Linked DNA regions of Arabidopsis thaliana. The protein of the gene in region 1 interacts with the protein of each later gene in a biochemical or structural test. Each region holds a gene or a part of one and is shown on either strand. Other genes may lie near its edges.

The links.
Region 2: the proteins of HSPRO2 (region 1) and SNF4 form a complex in vitro, tested with the Arabidopsis thaliana proteins (one study listed by BioGRID).

The regions. Positions count from the first base shown.
Region 1 is NC_003071.7:16,699,754-16,703,946, reverse strand, and holds HSPRO2 (ortholog of sugar beet HS1 PRO-1 2), read left to right. Parts: upstream 1-1,610; 5' UTR 1,611-1,990; coding exon 1,991-3,298; 3' UTR 3,299-3,457; downstream 3,458-4,193. Other genes in the region: EIF2 (eukaryotic translation initiation factor 2), read left to right, coding at 4,018-4,193. UniProt on the Arabidopsis thaliana protein: Positive regulator of basal resistance.
Region 2 is NC_003070.9:2,899,058-2,906,664, reverse strand, and holds SNF4 (sucrose nonfermenting-like protein), read left to right. Parts: upstream 1-1,802; 5' UTR 1,803-2,452; coding exon 2,453-2,577; intron 2,578-2,724; coding exon 2,725-2,812; intron 2,813-3,245; coding exon 3,246-3,422; intron 3,423-3,703; coding exon 3,704-3,826; intron 3,827-3,953; coding exon 3,954-4,013; intron 4,014-4,223; coding exon 4,224-4,313; intron 4,314-4,493; coding exon 4,494-4,628; intron 4,629-4,792; coding exon 4,793-4,937; intron 4,938-5,225; coding exon 5,226-5,399; intron 5,400-5,786; coding exon 5,787-5,850; intron 5,851-5,937; coding exon 5,938-6,007; intron 6,008-6,199; coding exon 6,200-6,317; intron 6,318-6,421; coding exon 6,422-6,516; 3' UTR 6,517-6,889; downstream 6,890-7,607. Other genes in the region: AT1G09010 (glycoside hydrolase family 2 protein), read left to right, coding at 7,378-7,526.

The DNA.
Region 1 (4,193 bases):
GAAAGTGTATTTATTAACATATATAAAAAGTTGGTTTTAGGGTAAGACTAATGCCTCGAATTTACTAGTTGTAACATTTTATTCTTTTTAAAGAGAATATGTGTCTCGAATTTACTAGGCGGGTGTAATTGGTTGTAGAAAAACGTTATTGTTAAAGATGGCTTTGATCAGTGCAAAGTGCAAACAAGTGACGTACGTAAAATAGATGTAAACAATACCAATTAAAACATAAGTAGTTATTTGAAAAGAAAACTCTTAACATAAAGAAGATTATAGACCACTAATTTGTATTTCAAACTATATAATCATTTGTCCTTTGTTATAATCTACTTGTCTAATGTCTAATATGTAATGGAAGAAATGGTCTGTCTTCACTCGAACCGTTTCCAACTGATAGTATTAATTAAATTCAATATCCAATGTACCGATAAATTAACAGAAACATCCATGAAAGTCTTGGTCACAAAAAATATATTTCATGCACTTAAAAGAGATTTGGTGAAGAAATCTCAAAACAGTCTTATTACAATCAAAATTTATCTATCGTATATAATAAATAAACAAAAAAATCGGTGAGATTAGAATATTGAACTGGAAAAGAAAAAAGAAAAACCAAAGTCAAAGGAAACGACAGCTTCCAAGTAAAACACTATTAGAAGATTAAGTGAGACCAAACTCCAACCTTCCTCACATATTTTGGATAAGCTTCGCATCTATATTCCTCCTACTTCCATGTGCCATTCCTTTTTCAATTCATAACACGGCACCGTCTAAATGCTTATCCACACTACAATAAAAAATAGTCATTTTTATTATATACGCGTTTCAAATACTGATAACACGATACAGTACTAATTTAGGGGACACTATATTTGTGAAAACTGCGGACTATACACTTTTCTAGTATCCAAATTTAATTTTGAGCAATAATTTTATCGTAACGTATATTTGTCTTATAATGCTCCTACTTGCAAGTATTATCCTAATTGTTTGACCTTATAGATAGAGCTTTTATAACTTTTGTAGGGAAACATCAAACATGTATTAAAATCTCTAGTGTTGCGAATTTAAGTTTATGCTTTCTTGAGTTTCTTTAATTGCCCGTCATTACGCTACTAAAATTTCACAATTTTGTCCGTTTTATACATAAATATACATAAACAAATACGTGATTTTTCTCTCTTTTTCTATTCAATTCATTATAGAAAATAAATGACGTTTTTCATATTTGCAACTAAAACATTGTTTTCTTTCAGTTTTATGTGGTACATGACACCTGTTATGTTTTACGATTGTTGATATATATTCAAAACACCATGTGCATGATTAGTTGAACTTGTAGCTGTAGATCGACAACTATCAAAATTATTATATATTTGCTTCGATCAAAAACTATCTACAGCTTGTAAATATTGCTCATAAGTGACAACCCATAACGCATGACTGACTTTCAAAAATGTATTTGCAGAAAATTTTATATTCTTATCGATCAACCCCTAAATGTTATACTACATCGCATATATCATCAAATAAAACATTTCTATATATGTATTAACATGTTATGAACATGACTGTGTGTTTTAACTTTAACTTTTATTAAAAGATAATATCTTACCAAAAACGAGAAAATATTCGATATTTCCTTAGAAATCAGATTACTGAACATTCGACTAATCATCAGGCATTTACCTTTCATAGAAAACAGTTCAAAAAGCAATATAAAGCCAAAAAACGAAAAAAAGATTATCCTGAAATTAATCCACAGTACTGGTTTTTTTTTTTTTTAAAAAGGAGACCGCGTTTCTACGCTGACTTTCAAATCAGTCGCGTCGGTATTATTCCACACGCCTTTTTTCTCGTCCCCATCCTCTATCCACATTTCTCTCTATATATACTCTCCTCGTATCCTAAACTCATCCTCAAATTCAAAATTTAACACACAAACACAAACACACACACCAAAAAAAACACAGACCTTAAAAAAATAAAAATGGTTGATATGGATTGGAAGAGGAAGATGGTATCATCAGATTTACCAAACTCACCTAAGCTTTCTTCAAAGCTTCACGTAACTATTCCATCACCGTTCAAAATCGTCCCTGTTTCATCTCCGATCTCATGTTCAGCACCTGCTCTTTGCTCTGCTTACGAGCTTTACCTTCGTCTCCCTGAGCTAAGAAAGCTCTGGTCATCTCGTGATTTTCCTCAATGGACATCAGAGCCGATTCTCAAACCAGCTCTTCAAGCTTTGGAGATCAGTTTCAGATTAGTTTTCGCCGTTTGTTCTGATACTAGACCGTACATCAACCACCGTGAATGGAACCGGAGGCTAGATTCTCTCATCACGAAGCAGATCCAGCTTGTAGCAGCGATCTGCGAAGATGAAGAAGAAGAAGGTATATCAGCGGAGGCTCCGGTCGGCGGTGGACGGAGTTCGTTGAGTTTGTTACCGCAGCTAGCTACGTGGAGGAGATCAGAGGCTTTGGGGAAGAAGATCTTATATACGATCGATAACGAGATGAGTCGGTGTAAGTACACGCTCGGACTCGGTGAACAAAACATCGCCGGAAAACCAAATCTCCGGTACGATGCGATTTGCCGACCAAACGAGATCTATAGCCTCAAGGATAATCCATACGCAGATCATATCGATAATCACGAGAATCAAACTCTCTATATCATTCACCAGATCCTCGAATCGTGGATCTACGCATCTGGAAATCTTCTGAATCGAATCGTCTCAAGTATCGAAGAAGAGAAATTCGGAAAAGCTTCAAACGATGTTTACTTGCTGGAGAAGATCTGGAAAATTTTAGCGGAGATTGAAGATCTTCATATGTTGATGGATCCGGAAGATTTTTTGAAATTGAAGAAACAGTTACAGATCAAATCGACGGGTAAAAACGATGCGTTTTGTTTCAGATCTAAAGGATTAGTGGAGATGATGAAGATGTCGAAAGATCTGAGACAGAAAGTACCGGCGGTCTTGGCGGTTGAGGTAGATCCAACCGGAGGACCAAGATTACAAGAGGCGGCGATGAAGCTTTACGCGAGGAAGACAGAGTGCGATAAGATTCATTTGCTTCAGGGGATGCAAGCGGTGGAAGCGGCGGCGAAGAGTTTCTTCTTTGGGTATAGGCAGTTAGTGGCGGCTATGATGGGAAGTGCGGAGATGAACGCGACGGCGAGTCAAGAGTCGTGTGACTCACTGAGTCAGATATTTATGGAGCCGACGTATTTCCCGAGCCTTGACGCGGCAAAGACGTTTCTGGGAGAGTTTTGGAGTCATTTGGGATGATTAAATTTTAATTTCTGCTGGTATAATTATTTAATATAAATTTAAATTGGTGGTTTGGTTTAATTTAGTTTGTAAGATAGTGAAATTTTTGGAACATTTGACGATCCATATTTGAATACAAATTCATTTTTATATGATTTATGAGATTTTTTAACAAACGATAACATTTACGAATATCGTAATCCATACTTTGAATTATCCACAAGTCGTAATTCAAATATGGGTGGTCTACTAACGAGTAACGACTAATCTATATGCTCTGACTAATCGTCAACAAATCACCACCTATCCTTCGTAGATGTTAGTGTATGAGAAAAACACAATTTCACACCTATCCTTTGTAGATGTTAAATTATGAGAAAAACACAATTTCACTTTCACAGTGTATAATATTCAAAATTCAATGATAAACACACACACAAAAACGTTATAAAAAACCCAAACCGACGATGAGTAACCAAACCGATGTATAAAACGACATTGCCTTTCTCTGTTTTTTGTGTTCAACAAATTTCATTAAGAGAAAGAAGGGAAGTGTTTGAATGAGTATTCATTCATTAGTCCAAGAAAAACATTTAATGGGCCTGTTTGTAGGCCCACTGGCACATAACCTATCTTCTGTATCATTGATGCCTTCTCCTACCTTCCTCTGACGCTCACATCGGAAACCCTAAATCTCCACTCTCTCGCGCCTTTTACCCCTTCTCAGAATCTTAACCATGGCGGCGACGAGCGAGCACACCATCTTGCAATTTGTGTCTCCGTCATCAACGGCGTCCGCTACAACCTCTGTACTCACGGCGAGGATCCACCCTCTCGTTATCTTTAACGTCTGTGATTGCTTCGTGAGACGTCCTGACTCAGCTGAACGAGTCATCGGAACTCTCCTCGGATC
Region 2 (7,607 bases), on another chromosome or scaffold:
AAAAATCATCGAAATTATACTTACGGACAAAGAGTTATGGACTATCTATTTTGGAAGGAGAAAAAGAGAACCATCAGAAATTGCCTACAAGAGAACCATCAATGATAAACTCAGATTTTGACTTTTGTACCCGAAAGAGAAAGAACCATCAATGAAACTGCTTGCGCGTTAGTCTCCCAATATTTTTCCCAGCTTTGATGTTTCCTTAAATTCCTTTTTGGGCAAGGTTACAAAGAACTAGGCTATGCTATATTGTATAATCTAAGCTTTTCACTTTGATTGATTTCATATCAAAAAAAAAAAGAAAGAAAGAAGGAGCATATGTGATGTAATTGGAGAGTTGTTTAGACTAAGAGAAAAATGTATTCAGTGGAGGCTAAAGAAATTCTTCTCGAAATCTGATGCAAAACCCATAACTGAAAGAAAAGAAGAAGAAAGAACTCTTTGAATTAGTTCCCGAGCCAAAGATCATATACATAACCAGAATTACGACGAAGGAGTTACGGATGTTTAGGACGAGAGCCAAAGATGTTCTAACAATATGTAACCAAATGAAGACTTTCCAAATATTAAAAAGAGCCCTTATGAGATAAAAAAAAAAAACTTTGTTGGCCTGTTTTTCAATGCCCAAATATAGCGATCAAGATTTTGAGATGAAAGTTATGACCATTAAAGGAGTATATATATCCAATTGTCCATACTAGCCAGCGACCGTGAATGCTGCCCAATAACCAACAAGCCAAAATGACCATTGTTTACAAATGTCTTTCTCATTTGCTGTTTTCCGACAGATAGAGTAAGTGTATATATAGAATAGTACTGAAAGAGAGGGCCGGGGGACTTATATACGTTTTGAGGAAAAAGATAAACAACATTAGAGTAAGAGCGAGATATATACACTTATATAAAGTCATGTCTATAAGAAAGTTCAAATCCAACTTAAAAATATATACTCACAACAAATAAAAGTTACATCACTTCGATTATTTAGAGTTTATAAAACTAATTAGAAACCGAACTCTTTTTTTCTTCAAGGTCGTGTTTTGGTTTTAGGCTTTTAGCCCTAATTTACAGGTCTTTCTAAGGCTAAATCTACTATAAAATGTAATTGCATGCCTAGGGTTCAAACATGAAGTCTCCTCTCCCTCAAATAATGTCAACTTGGAAGACAACACGATTGTCTCCCTGTATTACATGTCTACCGAGAATAGATGTACAATGTAATTTCATGGATTATGTTTAACCCGATAATAAATTGGTGTGGGATGTAATGATTTATTTTCTTTAATTTAAGAAATTATAAGAGTTGACACAATAAAAATTAGAGAAAAAAAAAACATGGCTTTTCTTTTTACTTTATTTATTTACCCTGCTTCAAAACACAAGAGAATAAGAGAAAAGTGTATTTTGAAACGTTTTTGAATGTTAGTTTGGTTTTGTTTGATTTATAGTACTGTTTAACATCAGAAAAGACAAATGAGTTTAAAAAAATAATACCAAAAAAAGAATTTACTAGATACAATTTTAAAGTGGAAATATTTTTAATAACTTGGATCCTCGTCTAATTTATTCATAACATTTATGTGATATATTATATATATAGGAAATGATTTATTAGATAGTTGACTAAAACTATATATTAGATGCTATTATTTGCATAATTCATATAGTTATTTATTATGAAAAAAGAGAAGAATAATCAGTTATGTAAAAGTAGAATTTTTTTTTTTTTTTTAAATGTTATCGGAAAAACTGTATACAGTAATAAAAAAGAGAAAAAAAAAAAAAACCATATCTTTGTCGATGGATTAAAAACAACATTTTCATTACGCAGCGCTTCTTCGCCCTCAGATTCTTCTTCACCTTGAAAGACCATTAACATCATTCCTTGCCCAGATCCAAACAATGCCATCTCCACTCTCTCTATTTAGGGTTCTCTCCAACTTTTCAAATCCCTAATTCTTGCTCCCTCCCTTCAATCAATTCCGATCATCATCGAGGTCTCTCTACTCCCCGAATTTAAAGATCAGAGCCGCGACTTCCTCTGCCTTCTTTTCCTCGGAATTTTTCAGCTACGTTTTCCAGGTGGTGTGTATTGTCAATCAGTTGACCTTTGCTTTTGTAGCCAGATCGTTCGTGCTTTGAGTTTAGGGCTCTTTTACAAGGTTTCGTGTTGGTGGAATTTCTCTACCTAGGTTTGGGGGAAGAGTTCAGTAATTTCGTTGTAGATCGTGATTTGGGCTTTTAGGGTTTCGGTTTACTGGTTGCTGGAATTTATGGTAGCGTTATTGAATTCGGACTCTCTGCATGTGTAAGCGTTGAAGTTTGAAGTTTCACCGGGTTTTGTTTCTTCTGCTGAAGAGTCGAGATTATTTTACGCATTAAGAATCGATTCAGAAGGTTTTTAGGAATTAGTTTCTGTGGATTGTAACTATATAACTACTGGGAGGGGATGTTTGGTTCTACATTGGATAGCAGCCGTGGAAACAGCGCTGCCTCAGGGCAGCTTCTTACTCCGACACGCTTCGTGTGGCCTTATGGAGGTAGAAGAGTCTTCCTAAGCGGATCTTTCACCAGGTGAGATGACTGAGCTTGAACTAGGATAGTTTACTTTATATTTCAGTTAAGCTATTTATCGGGGTTTGTGTAGAGTATGTGCTCTGTATAGTATCTATCGGGGTTTTGCAGTCCATGGACTGATTTCTGAAATGGGCATTTGAACAGGTGGACAGAGCATGTGCCAATGTCACCGCTCGAGGGCTGCCCTACTGTTTTTCAAGTCATTTGCAACTTGACGCCAGGATATCATCAGGTTAATAATCTTGTACTCGACCTGTATCATGGCAAATTCTTTGTTAATTAATCCCTGCAGAAGCATTTATGTCCTTGTAGTGATTTAGCGATGTCCATAATTGTGCTTCATTTAGTCTCTGGATACTTAACCTATGCAATGAGAATCTTATATACCTCTGTCATATTTGTATGACTGTGGCTGAAAATTGCAAATTTCCTTGCTAATTGATCAAAATTTGACTTTATACATCACCATCCACATAACAAAAGTTGGGGTCTTCATGCTGTGTGATACCTAAATCACTTCTTTTAATAAAGGCTACAGTGTGTGTATAGAGATTCATATATTTTGGCAGTTGGATGTACTATATATAACAAGATTTTAATTATTACAATGTGAGATGCTTAAGAAGCCACTAATGTTACATTTATGTTATTTCATTCTCATGCAGTATAAGTTTTTTGTTGATGGGGAATGGCGGCACGATGAGCACCAACCATTTGTAAGCGGAAATGGTGGAGTAGTGAATACAATATTTATAACTGGGCCAGATATGGTTCCTGCTGGTTTTAGCCCAGAGACACTGGGCCGGTCGAATATGGATGTGGATGATGTCTTCCTGCGAACGGTAAGGAATCTGACCTTTCCTTTTCCAAAATGCAGTGTTTATTCTCGCTGCTTGATGGTTCAGGTTTCCCGAGTTGCTTCCAGTTTGGTTTCTTTAATTTTGATCCGTGGTTGGTATCCTTCAGATTATTTTTAACTGTTTGTCATTAGTTCAAGTATAATTGATTTTAGACCATTTTATCTTAATGTATAAAGCAGGATTCCTTAAGTTCCATTAAATTGTCTCTGAGACTACATTCAAATTGAGTTTCTGACTGCTTTCACATGGTGATTATATTGTAGGCTGACCCGTCCCAGGAAGCTGTTCCTAGGATGTCGGGGGTTGATTTGGAGCTTTCTCGTCACCGCATATCGGTTTTATTGTCAACCCGCACTGCATATGAGCTGCTCCCAGAATCGGGCAAGGTTTGGTTTCTTTTTCTTTTTGCTTGATCATTGATAATTTCTGTCTTCATGTCCTATAGATTATCAGTTAAGAATAACCTTTGGCTTCTTACTCGGAAATTGTCTAAGGTGATTGGAAATTTTACAGGTTATTGCATTGGATGTTAATTTGCCAGTGAAGCAAGCATTCCATATACTCTATGAGCAGGTTTACTTTATTTGCCAATTACCCTTGTGTCAGCTTCTGTTCTTGTTAGGATGTTCATCTCTCTGTCTCTCACCGTCATATAAACATTCTAATATTGTTGCATCCAGACCCGGAAAGGGAAGGAAGTGAAACTTAAGTGAACAACATTCGTCTAATTATACTTCGAGATTGTTTGGCTTTCTGGTTTTTGCTAATTCCAGATGCTTTCAGGGAATCCCTTTGGCTCCTCTTTGGGACTTTGGAAAAGGCCAATTTGTTGGAGTTCTTGGTCCACTAGACTTCATTCTAATACTGAGAGAGGTTGGCTTCTATTAAAACTGTTCTTTGCTAGAGCATTCCATCGAGTTACTATTGTATATTCTTAGAATTTCCAAGACGGAAGTCTGGATATCTCATAAATCACATAGTTTTAAATGTTTTACTAGCTTCTCAGTATGAAATTTCACTCTTGAGTATAATAGCAAATTTGTAAAATTGCAGCTTGGAACTCATGGATCAAACTTGACAGAGGAAGAGCTTGAGACGCACACAATAGCAGCCTGGAAAGAGGGGAAGGCTCATATTAGCCGGCAATATGATGGAAGTGGGAGACCATATCCTAGGCCACTTGTTCAGGTGAGATTTTCACAGTTGATTTGTATCGCTGTTACTACTAACTTTCTTCTGTTTGCGTAATCTCTGAACATAGCCTTATCCTAGAACTTTCTATTGCATGTTATATTGAAAAGAGCTAGTAGTATTTCTCTCTTGCTATTAATGGTTTTATATATGGCTATCAGGTTGGACCCTATGATAATCTGAAAGACGTTGCCCTGAAAATTTTGCAAAACAAGGTGGCAGCTGTTCCGGTTATATATTCTTCTTTGCAGGATGGTTCATATCCGCAGTTACTGCATCTTGCTTCGCTATCAGGCATATTAAAATGTAAGGTCCCTTCATTTGTGAATAAGACACTGATAAGCGCGCCAATTTGGCATTTCTCACTTTTTAATTCATGACGTGCATATGATTCTGCTATTTCCAAAATTTTCCCACTTCTTCATTTCTCCAAATTCTGTGAAGGGATGGGATCTTTAGGAGGGAGGGAAATTAGAAACTAAAGTTGCAATTGACTTTACCAAACTTTTTACACAGTTTTCCCTGTTAATAATTCCTTTCGAAATTTATGCCTTTATCAGACACTTAAGCTCTAAATTAAGCATAATCTTCCAGGTATATGCAGATACTTTAGACATTCGTCTAGCTCTTTACCTATCCTTCAGCAACCCATTTGTTCAATTCCCCTGGGTACGTGGGTCCCTAGAATCGGAGAATCAAGTAGCAAACCTCTCGCTACATTGAGACCTCACGCCTCTTTGGGTTCTGCGCTCGCATTATTAGTTCAAGGTAATCCTTTTTCTTATCTTGTTGCAGCAACATCTTATTCAAAGCTCATCTGCAACTCAGACTATCAACCTCTACATTACAATCAGATTTTCAGTTTTAAATATTTTGTCTAGATGGTAATATAATCAAGTAGCTGAACACATGGGTATACTCAAGTCAATGCAGACCAACAAACCAACTTTAGATGTTACGACCACTTTTATTATTTTTATACAGATGTAATTGCTGCAACATGAGTAAACTAACGAGGTTTAAAAACATAGAAACATTTTTGTCAATCTTAAAGCAGATATATTTATAGAATTTCTCGTGATCTTTTCCCTGGTTCCTCATAGATGGAAATGAATGAATGAGTCATGCTTAATTTATGTTTCCTGGTTATTACAGCTGAAGTCAGTTCAATTCCCGTAGTGGATGACAACGACTCGCTTATTGACATATACTCTCGAAGGTAAACCTCTATCCATCAATCGACATGATGTCTTATGCATTCCATCTTTGACGTCCTTGTGTTCTGATGATATTTGTAATTGGCCAGTGATATAACTGCTCTGGCTAAAGACAAGGCATACGCACAGATTCATCTTGATGACATGACAGTTCACCAGGTAAACCTCTCATCAGAAACCAAGATCCATCACATGTCTCATCAAATTACGAGTTTTACTTAAATGTAACCTGCCTATCTATCATGGAAATTGCCTCGTTTCTGATTTATTTGAACATACATCTTTACAAGAATGAAAGAAGAGATGAAACGTTATAATAAAGTGGAGGATAATGTGTTTGTGGGTTTTCAGGCGCTACAGTTGGGGCAAGATGCGAGCCCGCCTTATGGAATCTTCAACGGGCAGAGATGTCACATGTGCTTGCGCTCAGACTCTCTTGTGAAAGTGATGGAGCGGTTGGCGAATCCAGGTACACACTATCTCCTATATACAATCTTCAGCTTTGTTGCTTGACACAGGAACATCAGATGAGATGTAACTGGGGTTTGGGTTTGTGTATATAAAACACAACAGGTGTAAGGAGGCTGGTGATAGTGGAAGCAGGGAGCAAACGTGTTGAAGGTATCATTTCACTGAGCGATGTTTTCCAATTCCTGCTCGGTCTTTGACTCCCACAGCAAAACAACCTCCCCAACCTCTTTTTCTCATTTCCCCTCAATCAAAACTACCCAACAATTTGCTTCTTTTTTTTTTTTTTTTTTTTTCTTCTTGCAAGGAATTTGTAAATTTGCTACGAACCTCTTTCATCATTGTTTTCTTATTATTTTTGTTGTTTTAGTTGAACGGGTTTCCATTCTTGTGAAGATATTGGCTACCGGAATCTTTTACTAGTAGCTTCCCTCAGCTTTTTCTTCCCTCTTTTTTTTTCCATTTTTTTTTGGTTTTGAGTTTTTCACTTCATCGACTCGAAAAGCAACACAGCATGAGAAGGCCGTAGAAGTGTAGGACAATGCACTGGTTGACAAAGATGAATTGTCACCAGCGAGAATAAGCCTTATGGTTGAAGTTTGCAAGTAATGATTAATACAATTACAATCATAACGAATCATAACCTTAAGTACAATAACAAGTAAAAAAGTACAATGACAAGTAATATTCAGTAATGGTTAATCGAGTGATTTGATCATAGCATTATCGATTTCTTTCGGATTTTTCAATAGCTCTTAAAATATATCAATAAAAGTAATACAAAATTCAATCAAATCTAGTGACACTAAAAAAAAATAAAAAAATCTAATGTCATTTAAAAAATATTTGAGCAAAAAAAATAAAATCTAATGTCATTAAAAATAAGTGTTAAATAATTGATGACATAATAAGTGATAGAGAAAAATGTATTTACTCTATTTACTTATTTAGGCTTATCCAGACAATAAACGTTTTCGTTTTTCCAGTCCAACAAGTTTCTTCATCAACTCTCTCAACTGTTTTCGACATAAACATTCCAGAAGCTGAGATCAGATACTAAAATGGCGGAGATCGGGAAGACGGTGTTAGATTTCGGCTGGATAGCGGCGAGATCCACGGAGGTCGATGTCAACGGCGTTCAGCTCACTACCACCAATCCTCCGGCCATCAGTTCCGAATCTCGGTGGATGGAAGCCGCCGTACCTGGAACGTAAGTAATAGTGTTCACTTTCCTCTTCGAAAATTTGAAGCTATTAATAATCAAAGTAAGAACAATTGTTTAAGTATTTGA